Linked DNA regions of Oryctolagus cuniculus. The protein of the gene in region 2 binds, or shares a complex with, the protein of the main gene of each other region. Links are inferred from orthologs where the notes say so. Each region holds a gene or a part of one and is shown on either strand. Other genes may lie near its edges.

Evidence for each region.
Region 1: the proteins of GCC2 (region 2) and RAB6A are in contact, whole or in part, in a crystal structure (PDB 3BBP), measured with the Homo sapiens proteins. The link is inferred for Oryctolagus cuniculus from reciprocal best matches to the Homo sapiens genes GCC2 and RAB6A. Residues at the interface, in NP_852118.2 of Homo sapiens: Thr1585, Ile1588, Leu1589, Glu1591, Gln1592, Leu1595, Leu1596, Glu1599, Arg1602; in NP_942599.1 of Homo sapiens: Lys15, Ile46, Gly47, Ile48, Trp67, Arg74, Phe75, Ser77, Leu78, Ser81, Tyr82, Asp85.

What each region holds. Positions count from the first base shown.
Region 1 is NC_091432.1:65,087,990-65,093,716, forward strand, and holds the start of RAB6A (ras-related protein Rab-6A), read right to left. Parts: upstream 3,305-5,727; 5' UTR 2,788-3,304; coding exon 2,718-2,787; intron 1,173-2,717; exon of another isoform or gene 1,145-1,172; coding exon of another isoform or gene 1,108-1,144; intron 1-1,107. UniProt on the Homo sapiens protein: The small GTPases Rab are key regulators of intracellular membrane trafficking, from the formation of transport vesicles to their fusion with membranes.
Region 2 is NC_091433.1:100,348,421-100,353,657, reverse strand, and holds part of GCC2 (GRIP and coiled-coil domain-containing protein 2), read left to right. Parts: coding exon 1-2,189; intron 2,190-3,191; coding exon 3,192-3,261; intron 3,262-5,237. UniProt on the Homo sapiens protein: Golgin which probably tethers transport vesicles to the trans-Golgi network (TGN) and regulates vesicular transport between the endosomes and the Golgi.

The DNA.
Region 1 (5,727 bases), on a different chromosome or scaffold from region 2:
ACAGGCTACAACCTTTGGTTACTACTAGATTCAACCACTATTTTATCAAATATTTCTGAGCACTCAATGGGGAACACAATGAACAAAAACAATAACGGGATTTGCATCTTGCTGTGGGAAATAGACAAAAACAACAACAACAAAAAATAATATAATTATAAATGAGGTAAATGCTACTAAAGAAACAAACAAGGCTTTGCCATAGAGTACAGGCTTTGAGAGCTAAATTGTGGAATTCTAACAGATCCAAAAATAAATAATTCATGAAGAATTACATCAAGATGACAGATTCTACAGACCTCTGCTAATGCATAAGAAAACTAGACACTGACCACAGAAAGTGAGATCAATCTTTCATTGTCAAAGCTATTGGGTAATATTACTTAGCAGTACAGTAGCCTTCAAAAGATAATTAACCTCACAATTCAGAGAAAAAAGCATGTAAACACAATCCTGAAAACCGTCTAAGTGGAGCCTATGGACAACTAACCGTAATGTGGTATCCTGAACTGAGTGTTGAAACAGAAAAAGAACATGAGTTAAAAACTAAGGCAATCTAAATTACGGACTTTAGCTAATAACGTCTCAATACTGGCTCACTGTTAATAAACATATCGTACTAATGTAAGATGTCAGTAACAGGGGAAACCAGGTGCAGGAATATATGGACACCCTCCACACTATCATCTCAATGCTTCTGCAAATCTGAAACTGTTCTAAAAAATGAAGCCCATTTTCTTTTTGTAATCTCACAAGGCTTCAAGAATTATAGGAGTAGAGAATTAATAAAACAGCTAACGGAAGTAAACAAAACTCTGTAATTTAGAACATAAACACCTAAGAAATTCAAAAGAATCCTGCAGACTAAAGATCTCTATTTATGCTGAAGTATTCCCAGACACAAAGATTAATGCCTTTCTCATGCAAACTAAATGGCTCTGCAACACAACATAAGGCAGGCAATAACATCCCTAAAGTGCACAATAAGCCCATTAGGGTCTATTTATCAATAATGACCAATAAACTGTATTTTATGCATGGCACTTTCTTGAAACTGCCATATAATAATGGCTGAACCAGTTCCATGGGTTCTAACAATTTGCTCACCTAAAGGAACATGTTCATACTTCAGGAAAATCCACATGCAAAGAGAGGGAGATCGTTTCCTTCCTCTGGTTAAGGGAAGATAATCCATGTATGAAAGGAGACAAGTTATTTTCTAGGTCCAAATGGAGGCAATTTTGCAACAAGCATTAACCTACTATATTGTCATACAAATTAGTATAAATAGTTCAAGGTAATAGTAACAGCTATGAATTTATATCATTGATATGCCTTCCAGTCAAAGCAAATAACTAATGGCTTCTATAACCTCACCTAAGATAACTAGATTTCCAAAACTTGATGACTTGGTACTAGTCTCTCCATTTCTGAAATTAAAGATGGTCATGAAAAATTTGAGAGAAACAAAGGACGGTGACTCTCTCAATTACTGTCAAGTTTGTATAATATAGCATAAAACTATCATTACCATAAGAAGTACTCTTAGAGACAGCCATTACAAAATTAAGATGTTGTATCTAATACAAAATACATCAACAATCCTGACCAGGTAAATGACATAACAATTTCACTCATCAGATACCATAAAACATTAAGCATTAAAAAAAAATTAGCCCAAATGGCATTTAAATCTAATTTAGGTAACTAGATGATGAATCTATTCCTACTCTACTCCATTACCCAAAGGAAATCTTACAAAAGATGTTCATCCTAAGCCTTCTCTCACATAAATCATATATATATATATATTTAAACTGGAAAACACTCAAGAAGAAATGAATAATTAACATTTCCCAGTAATTCCTGTGTGCACCACCATGAGGAGAATCGGACACTGCTTCTTGATGAAAAAAGGGGAGGTGAGATGTTGAAAAATTCCAAGTAAAACGATCATGACATAGCATCTGGCAGAGATCGAAAAAGCATCAACAATGCCCAAAGAATTGTCGGCGATGAAAGTCAAGAGAAAAAATAAGGTTTTGCCGACAAGCCACAGCCCAATCCATGGGGCAAAAAAAAAAAAATCGCCACTGCCGACGACACCGCGCTCACCCCCGACCACCCCATTCTCAAATCGCCCCCAATTTTGAAATATTTCCTCTACAGCCAGACCAATTCCCCACCCAGGTGAAAACCTGCCGCGATTTTTTTTTTCTCCTACGCCCACCACTCCTCCCCTCCCAGGAGCTCAGCACTTCCAAGGGCCAAGCCTCTGGGGAAAACAACGCCCAGCTCCCACCCGCCGTGCCCAAGGTTGAAGAAGGGCCGGTCCCCAGGAGCGGGGGCTTCCCGGGGTGGGCCTCACCTCGCCCGCGAGCTGAGGACGGAGCAGGGGACAAGGGTGGGGCTCAGGAAAGCAGGGGGGTCGAGAGGACGCTGGGGCCCGGAGGAAGAAAGAGATGGACAAGGCGGCTGGGGCTGGGCGGGGTGAGGACGGGCCGGGCTGCGGGGACCCCGGCAGCAGGCAGGCTCGGGACTCGGGGCCGGCGGAAAAATGAAAAACCCGACCCAGCGAGCAGGGCCAAGAGGGGCCGGGGTGGAGCGGAGCGCGGACGCGAGGTCGGCAGGGAGCCTCCGCGGACGGGAGGGCCGCACCGGGGGCGGTGCGGGGAAGCCGCGGCCGGCTGCCAGGAGTGGGGGAGCCGCGCACTCACCGCTCTGCTCCCCCAGGAACACCAGCTTGAATTTCCTCAGCGGATTCCCGAAGTCTCCGCCCGCGGACATGATGGAGCCGGAGGAGCTGCTGCCGCCTCAGCCCAGAGACCGCCCGGACCGACGCTGCTCCAACCGGCTGCCGATAAGGGCGAGCGGAAAGGCGAGTGCCGAGCTCTCTCGGCCCCTGCAGGGCCCCGGCGGAGCAGCGAGGCTGGAGGACGGCGGGACTCGCCACAGACGAGCAGCAGCAGCCGCCGCCTCCCCGCAGAGTCGCCTAACACCGAGCGAGGCCCGCGGCTGGGAGGCGAGGGAGGGCGGTGTCGAAACACCCAGGGCTGTGCTCAGGGCTCCTGAGGCTAGCACCGCTCCCTTCCTCAGCGCCCAGCACGGAGACTGGGGTGGGAGAGGCGGAAGGTGGCGCAGCGGTAGCCGCAGACGCGTCCGGGACCTCTCACACCCAGCTCCTCCGCTGCCGCCGCCGCCGCAGCCCAACCTGCTGAGTGCGCGAGCCTCTGGCGCGGCGCAGGGCGAGCCCGGGCGCGAGCCTGCCGCCCCTCCGGCAGCCGGCGTGCGTGCGTGCGTGCGTGCGCGTGCGCGTGCGCGCCTCCGCCAGCGCCTTCCTGGTCCAGCCAGCTGTCCTCGCTCCTCCCGCGCCGCGGAGTCTAAGGCAGGGAGAACCGAGGAGGGGGCGGGGCGGAGAAAGGGGCGGTATGTGGTTGGGGGGGCAGAGAGGAAAAATGGAACACTTACGTCACTTACGGGGTGGGCCAATGGGAAGAGGCCGAGGGCAGGCAGGGAGCAGAGCGAGGTGGAGGCGCGAGAGCGCGCGCGGCCGTGGAGGCGTGGAAAGCGGACCGCTGCGGCGGCCATGCTGAGTGTGGCAGGGCGCAGCCTGGGGGCGGGAGGTGGAGAAGAGGAGGGAAAGGAAGATGGAGCCGGCGGAGGCGGGGCCGGGACGGAGGCGGAATGACCCCGGCGGTGTGCGGTTGGGACCGGATACCCTCGAGGTGTGAAATAGGTGCCTCTTGCCCGAGCTTTCAGTATTGCCTCACAGCCCTCGGGGCCGCCCTTCTCGCGTGTGCCCACCCCCACCGTCATCTTCATCTTAATTCTTCTCACGGCGTCTTAGACTCGGTTGCTCCAAGGGTGTTTTAGCTGCCAGAATCAGGGCCTCCTTATTCTGCACAGGAGGGAACAAACCCGGAGGGAGGAAATGACTTGCAAAATCCACAGGTTGTGAGGTGGCTCCCAGGTTCATTTGCCACCTGAACCTCTGCGACCCCTTTATTGGTAAACCCATCCAGTTCCCTCGCCTAAACTGGTTTGCTTGCTCCTTCGGCATTGCTAACTCTAGAGTCTAGATGATGCCCACCTTGCCAGAAAAGGGTTTACAGATCAGTTACACTCAGCCCCTTTTCACAGATAATGCAACTGAAGTCCACATAAGAAATTTCTTTCTGGAAGGCTACAAATTAGAAAGCCTGAGCGGTTAAGGGGGCCACCTGCGGCGCCAGCATCCCATATGGGCGCTGGTTCCAGACCCGGATGCTCCACTTCCAATCCAGCTCTCTGCTATGGCCTGGGAAAGCAGTAGAAGATGGCCTAAGTCCTGGCTTTGGATGGACCCAGCTCCTGCCATTGCGGCCATTTGGGGAGTGAACCAGTGGATGGTAGACCTTTCCTTCTCTCTCTCTATCCGCCTGTCTCTCTGTAACTCTACCTTTCAAATAAATAAATCCTAAAAAAAAAAAAAAAAAAAAAAAAAAAAATTACCCTTGCTGCTTGAAGCGGGGATTCTGCCACGAGTGAAGAAGGTTCCTTAAACTAACCCTATGAAGCAGGTGCGTTTTTCTGTGGAGAGGACCCATAGTTTTCATCCCATTTTCAGCCTACTTCATTGTCCAGAAAAGCAAAGTTGGGGTGGGTGTTCTGGCCCGCTGCTTAGGACGCCCACAGCCTCTACTAGATTGCCTGGAATAGTGTCCTGGCTGTCCTTCCCATCCGCCTTCCTGCTAATGTGCCTGGGAGGCAGGAGATGATGGCCAAAGGGCTTGGGTTCCTGCCACCCATGTGGGAGAATCAGATGGGATTCTTGGTTCCTGGGCTTTGGCCTTCCCAGTCTCAGCTATTGCACGCATTTGGAGAGTGAACAAGCCAATGGAAGATTTCTGCCTCTCCCTCCTTAGGTCACTCTTGTCTTTCAAATGAAGAAAGTTGTAAAAAGAAGGTTAACGGCACAACCAAAAAGAATCTAAGAATTACTTAGTATAGTCTGGAAAACTAGGGGCCCACACTGAGGTGTAGTGGATTAAGCTACTGCCTGCAACACCAGTATATCGCATATATTTTTGTTTAAAAAAAAATGTGTGAAACTAACATGACATGCTAACTAACATGACACTAACAAAACAACTAAATGAAAGATTTTAAACATTTTTATTTATTTGAAAGGCAGAGTGACAGAGATGGAGACAAAGACAGAGATCTTCATCCAAATGCCCACACCAGCTGGTGCTGGGCCAGGCTAAAGCCAGGAACCAGAAACTCCACCCAGGTCTGCCACATGGACAGCAGGAAGCCAACTACTTGAGCTATCACCACCATCTCCCAGGGTGAGCGTTAGGAGGAATCTGAAATCAGGAGTGGAGCCTGGAGTCAAACCCAGACACTACCATATGGGATGAGGTTTCCCAGAGTGGCATCTTAACTGCTAGGCCAAATGTCTTCCCTAAAGAAGCTATTTTTTAAAAAACGCTTGCAAACAAAAGCGAATGGCTATTTTTTTTCTTTCTGATGAATACCAGGTTTTTCTTTATGTTTTCTGAAGTAGCTTTTCAAGTAGCATCTGAGATTGGAACTGTAATGACTTTGTATTTCTCCAGAACTCTGTGAATCAACTCTACCCTGATGCTTTGGTCTCTGTGGTCACCCAGTCAGCTAGTGTTATTCCCTGTTATTTTGAAGAGAGGTGTGCCAAAATCCATCTCTTACCTCATAGGTTGGGTGCTA
Region 2 (5,237 bases):
TACAGAAGCAGTTAGAAGCTACGACTGATGAAAAGAAACAAGAAATTGCTCACCTCCAAAAAGTTATTGAGTCTAATTCTCAGCACTACCAAAAAGATATAAGTAGTTTGCAAGAAGAGCTTTTCCAGTTGAAAGCTACACACCAAGAAAAGGTCAAAGAATTGATGTGCCAAATTGAAACATCAGCTAAGGAGCATGAAACAGAAATAAATAAGTTAAACCAACTAAACGAAAACTTAGTAAAGCAGTGTGAGGCAAGTGAGAAGAATATTCAGGAGAAATATGAATGTGAATTAGAAAACTTGAAGAAAGCCACCTCAAATGCAAGCCAGGAAAGTCAGATATGTTCTGTGCTCTTAAAAGAAGATACTGTTGTAGACCAGGTAGTAAACGAAAAAGTCAAACACTTAGAAGATACCTTAAAAGAACTGGAATCTCAACATAGTATATTAAAAGATGAGGTAACCTATATGAATAATCTTAAATTAAAACTTGAAATGGATGCCCAACATGTAAAGGATGAGTTTTTTCATGAGCGGGAAGACTTAGAGTTTAAAATTAATGAACTGTTACTAGCTAAAGAAGATCAGGGCTGTATAATTGAAAAATTAAAATCTGAGCTAGAAGATTTAAATCGACAGTTTTACTGTACTGTAGAAAAACATGACAAAGAAGTACAGAGTCTTAAGGATCAATATCAAAAAGAAATATCAGAACTAAATGAAACATTTCTGTCAAGTTCAGAGAAAGAAAAATTAGCATTAATGTTTGAAATACAGGGCCTTAAAGAACAATGTGAAAACCTACAGCAAGAAAAGCAAGAAGCAATCTTAAATTATGAGAGTTTGCGAGAGATTATGGAAATTTTACAGACGGAACTGGGAGAATCTGCTGGAAAAATAAGTCAGGAATTTGAGTCAATGAAGCAGCAACAAGCATCTGATGTTCATGAACTTCAGCAGAAACTCAGAACTGCTTTCAATGAGAAAGATGCTCTTCTTGAAACTGTGAATCAGCTCAAAGGAGAAAATGAAAAGTTACTGTCTCTACAAGAATTAGTACCAGAACTTGAAAATACCATAAAGAGCCTTCAAGAAAAGAATGAAGAGTACTTAGTTAGCCTCAGTCAGAGAGATACCATGTTGCAAGAATTGGAAGCAAAGATAAACTCCCTCACTGAGGAAAAGGATGATTTCCTAAGTAAAATAAAAAATTCTCATGAAGAGGTAGATAATCTCCATGAAAAATGTGAAAAGCAGGAAAGATTGATTATAGAACTTGAGGAGAAAGTGGAACAGAGTACCCAGTACAACAGTGAATTAGAGCAAAAGGTAAATGAATTAACAGGACAGCTAGAAGAAACTTTAAAAAAAAAGAACCAAAATGACCAGCAGGTAGAAAAACTAATGGTTCAAGTTAAAACTCTCTCTGAAGACCAAGAAGCATTGGCATCTGAAGTGAAGTCTCTTAATGAAGAGAATAATAGACTAAGTTCAGAAAAGAACCAGTTGAGTAAGGATTTGGAAGCTCTTTTATCTGGAAAAGATGATGTTAGCCTTAAAGAACATATTACTGAATTAGAAAAGAAGCTTCAGTTAACAGTTGAAGAGCGAGACGATTTAAGTAAACTGTTTGAAAATGAACAAGCTCAGAAGTTATTTGTCAAAACACAGTTGTATGGTTTTCTTAAACAGATGGGATCGGAAGTTTCAGAAGAAAATGAAGAGCAAGATGCTATAAGTGTCCTACAAGCCATAGGTGAAGCCTTAGCAAAATTAAATGAGGAAAAACATAACTTGTCTTCTCAATATGATGAAAAGGTATTAGAGTTAGAAAAAAATATTAAGTTCCTTCAGGAAGAGAATGTAGTTCAATGTGAAGAACTTAGATGTTTATTAAGAGACTATGAGCAAGAGAAAGCTCTCTTAAGGAGAGAGTTAGAAGAAACCATTGCAGAAAAGGAGTCTCTGCAATTTGATCTTCTAGAAATGAAAAATGCCAATGAAAAAACAAGGCTTGAAAATCAGAATCTTTTAATTCAGGTTGAAGAATTGTCTCAAAAGTATGACAAAAATGAAACCCATAATGAAAAAGACTCTTTCATAATGGAACATGAAAACCTAAGGTCATCACTGGAACAAAAAGAATCTGAATTACAAGATGTGAGAGCAGAGTTGATGTTATTAAAGGTACTACTTAATTCAAGTTCTTAGTTCTTGTCATAGACTAGAAAATATAAATATAAATGTTTTTATGGTTTGAAGTCAAAAGTATTTAAACTCAAATGACACATTTCTGAAAAATACATTAGACATTTTATTACAGTATATCCTGTTTAATTATACTGATTTCTTCTTTCACTTGAGATCATTTTAAAATTTTGAACTTAAGATTAAATGATTAGACATTTAAATATCATGATCAAAAGTGTATAGCTGGTTAGTGGGAAACCATTTAGATATGAAAAAACGTAAGTCATTTTTGTCTGGTTAGATTTTTTTTTTTTTTTTTTCTTTTTGCACTGTCAATCTGAAGAGTTGGCTGTAGTGGTATTTCGCTTTGGCTAAAATTGCAGGGTTTTCTCAAAAATGTTGTGAGGGCCGGCGCCACAGCTCACTTGGCTAACCCTCCACCTGCAGCGCTGGCACCCTGGGTTCTAGTCCCAGTTGGGGCGCTGGTTCTGTCCCGGTTGCTCCTCTCCCAGTCCAGCTCTCTGCTGTGGCCCAGGAGTGCAGTGGAGGATGGCCCAAGCGCTTGGGCCCTGCACCCGCATGGGAGACCAGGAGAAGCACCTGGCTCCTGGCTTCGGATTGGCGCAGTGCAGTGGCCATTGTGGGGTGAACCAACAGAAGGAAGACCTTTCTCTCTGTCTCTCTCTCACTGTCTAACTCTGCCTGTCAAAAAAAAAAAAAAAATGTTTTGAAAGTATGATAATGACCAGTTCATCTTTTCCTTATTACGTATGTGTAAGGTTGTTCATCTTGGCCTTTGATACTGCTGTTTCTAGTACATGCCAGATGCATAATAGGTCAGTATTATCTGCTCTGTCACAGGAAGAAAGACTGTTGACCAGATTACTTTTTGTACGAATTCTCTTCGGTAATGATTTTCTCATGCTTAATAAGATGGTCAGTTCATCATGGGGGATGAAATGAATTCTTTTTTGTTTTTGTTTTCCCTATAAAATCTAGGATTCTTTAGAGAAAACACATATAAAAACTGATCAACACTCCTCAGTGAAAGATCTGGAAGAAAAAATCGGTAATTACACTTTTATAAATGTTGTCACAAATTGATTAGAAAAATTCTTGTTACTGTTGGAATAGAGTGGGAACTGTAAAGGCCAGGTAGTGAGTTGTTAAGTGGCAGTCCTTACCTCACACCTCCTTTCCCGTCTCCTGCCATCTGTGTGCCTTTCCTTTCACAAATTTCACTGTATAAATGGTTCCACAAATTTTTTTTAAATTTTTTCATTCATTTAACAGTCTTTATTTGAATGCCCACCTGTTTAGTTACTGGCAACAGAAAGGAGATGAATAAGGTGTGGACCATGTGCTCAAAGAGCTGTCAGGAGAGGCTGGTGCAGTACTAACAGCACAGGAAGTTGCCTGTTTCAAATCAGGACCTAAGAAAACATCACAGAATAGGGCCTTCAGTTGGGTATTGAAGAATGAGAAATTGAACACGAAAGTTTGGCATTTTAGCAAGAAGCAATGGTAGATATTTGTGTGTTAACATAAGCAATACCAAGTAATATATTGGGAGGTTCTTGGAAAGTTAGCCAGGAACCTCACCGCAGTGTGCTATGTGATACACAGAAGAATTGGTGGTTTACGCGTAGCCATTTACTCCTCATGAGCAACATTCACTCCCATGTGAGATGAGGACAGGGACACAGTGTTGTATATAATGTGCTCATGGTTCCTCAGTGTAACACCCAGTTAGAGTGGGGGTGGGGGTGGAAGAGTAGAATGACTCCCAGTTTTCTGTAACGTGTGATTGCAGCAGGTCAGGAAGCTCAGATGCTCAGATTTAGACAAGTTTAAATACGAATCCAAGCAGAGATGTCACACAGAATGGCATGCATATCCAGAAATAAGGGGAAAAGCAAGGCTAGAGATAAACATTTGTTAAGTAGTGGGTATTAAGAGTCACAAGATTGAGTATCACCAAGAGTGTAGAAAAAAGATGAGAACCAGAGACAGTTCTCTGTCCTTTAAAGATAGAGGAGGGAGTCACAACAAGGAAGATTGAGAAGGAGCCCCATAAATTAGGAGAACCTAGAGCATAAAACATTCTAAAGCTGGGGCTGGCACTGTGGCATAGCAGGTAAAGCCACCGCCTGCAGTGCCAGCATCCTTTATGGGTGCTGGTTCGAGTCCCAGCTGCTCCACTTCCAATCCAGCCAGCTCTCTGCTATGGCCTGTGAAAGGAGCAGAGGATGGCCTGAGTCCTTGAGCCCCTACACCCGTGTGGGAGACCCAGAGGAAGCTCCTGGCTCCTGGCTCGCGAGTGTTCCAACTCCAACCATTGCATTTGGGGAGTGAATCAGCAGATAGACAATCTCTCTCTCTACCTCTGTAACTCTGCCTTTCAAATAAATAAATACATCTTTTAAAAAAAAAAAAAATTCTAAAGACAAGTGAAAGAAGTCCTTCAAAATGGGAAAAAAAAATGTTTAGTCCTGGCCTGTACTGCTGATGGGTTGACCATGTGCTCATCAGCATAGAAGTTGGTGTCTGGGACTCTGACCCAGAGCTTATTTGAAGTGGATTCCAGAAATGAAAGGGGAAGAGACGTTTCAGAGCAGTTATAGACAACTCTTGCAAGGAGTTGTGATATACAAGAGATGGGCCAGTATCTAAAGGGGCAGGATGGTTTATTTTTTATCGGAGGAAAGGACAGCATGGTGAGATATTTCACCTGCCCTATCATGATCTCCTCCTTTCTGTCTTCATCTGCTTCCACTGGTTCCAAGGTTCCTGACCTTAATTTCCTGATGATATCTTCCTTGCTGCATATTTATAAACTGGTGAGAGAAACTCACTCAAAGGGGAAGCTGACACATAGAAGGGAAGGGAAATTCCTCCTCTGTTGCTGGAATAGGTGAAGAGGGTGGAATGAAGTGCAGAACACATACAGTTCAACTGTAGGTGGCAGCCATGAAGCACAGGTGCAAGTAGACTGATACACAAGGACAGAAATTCAGATCATAAGTCAAATAAGAATACCAAGAA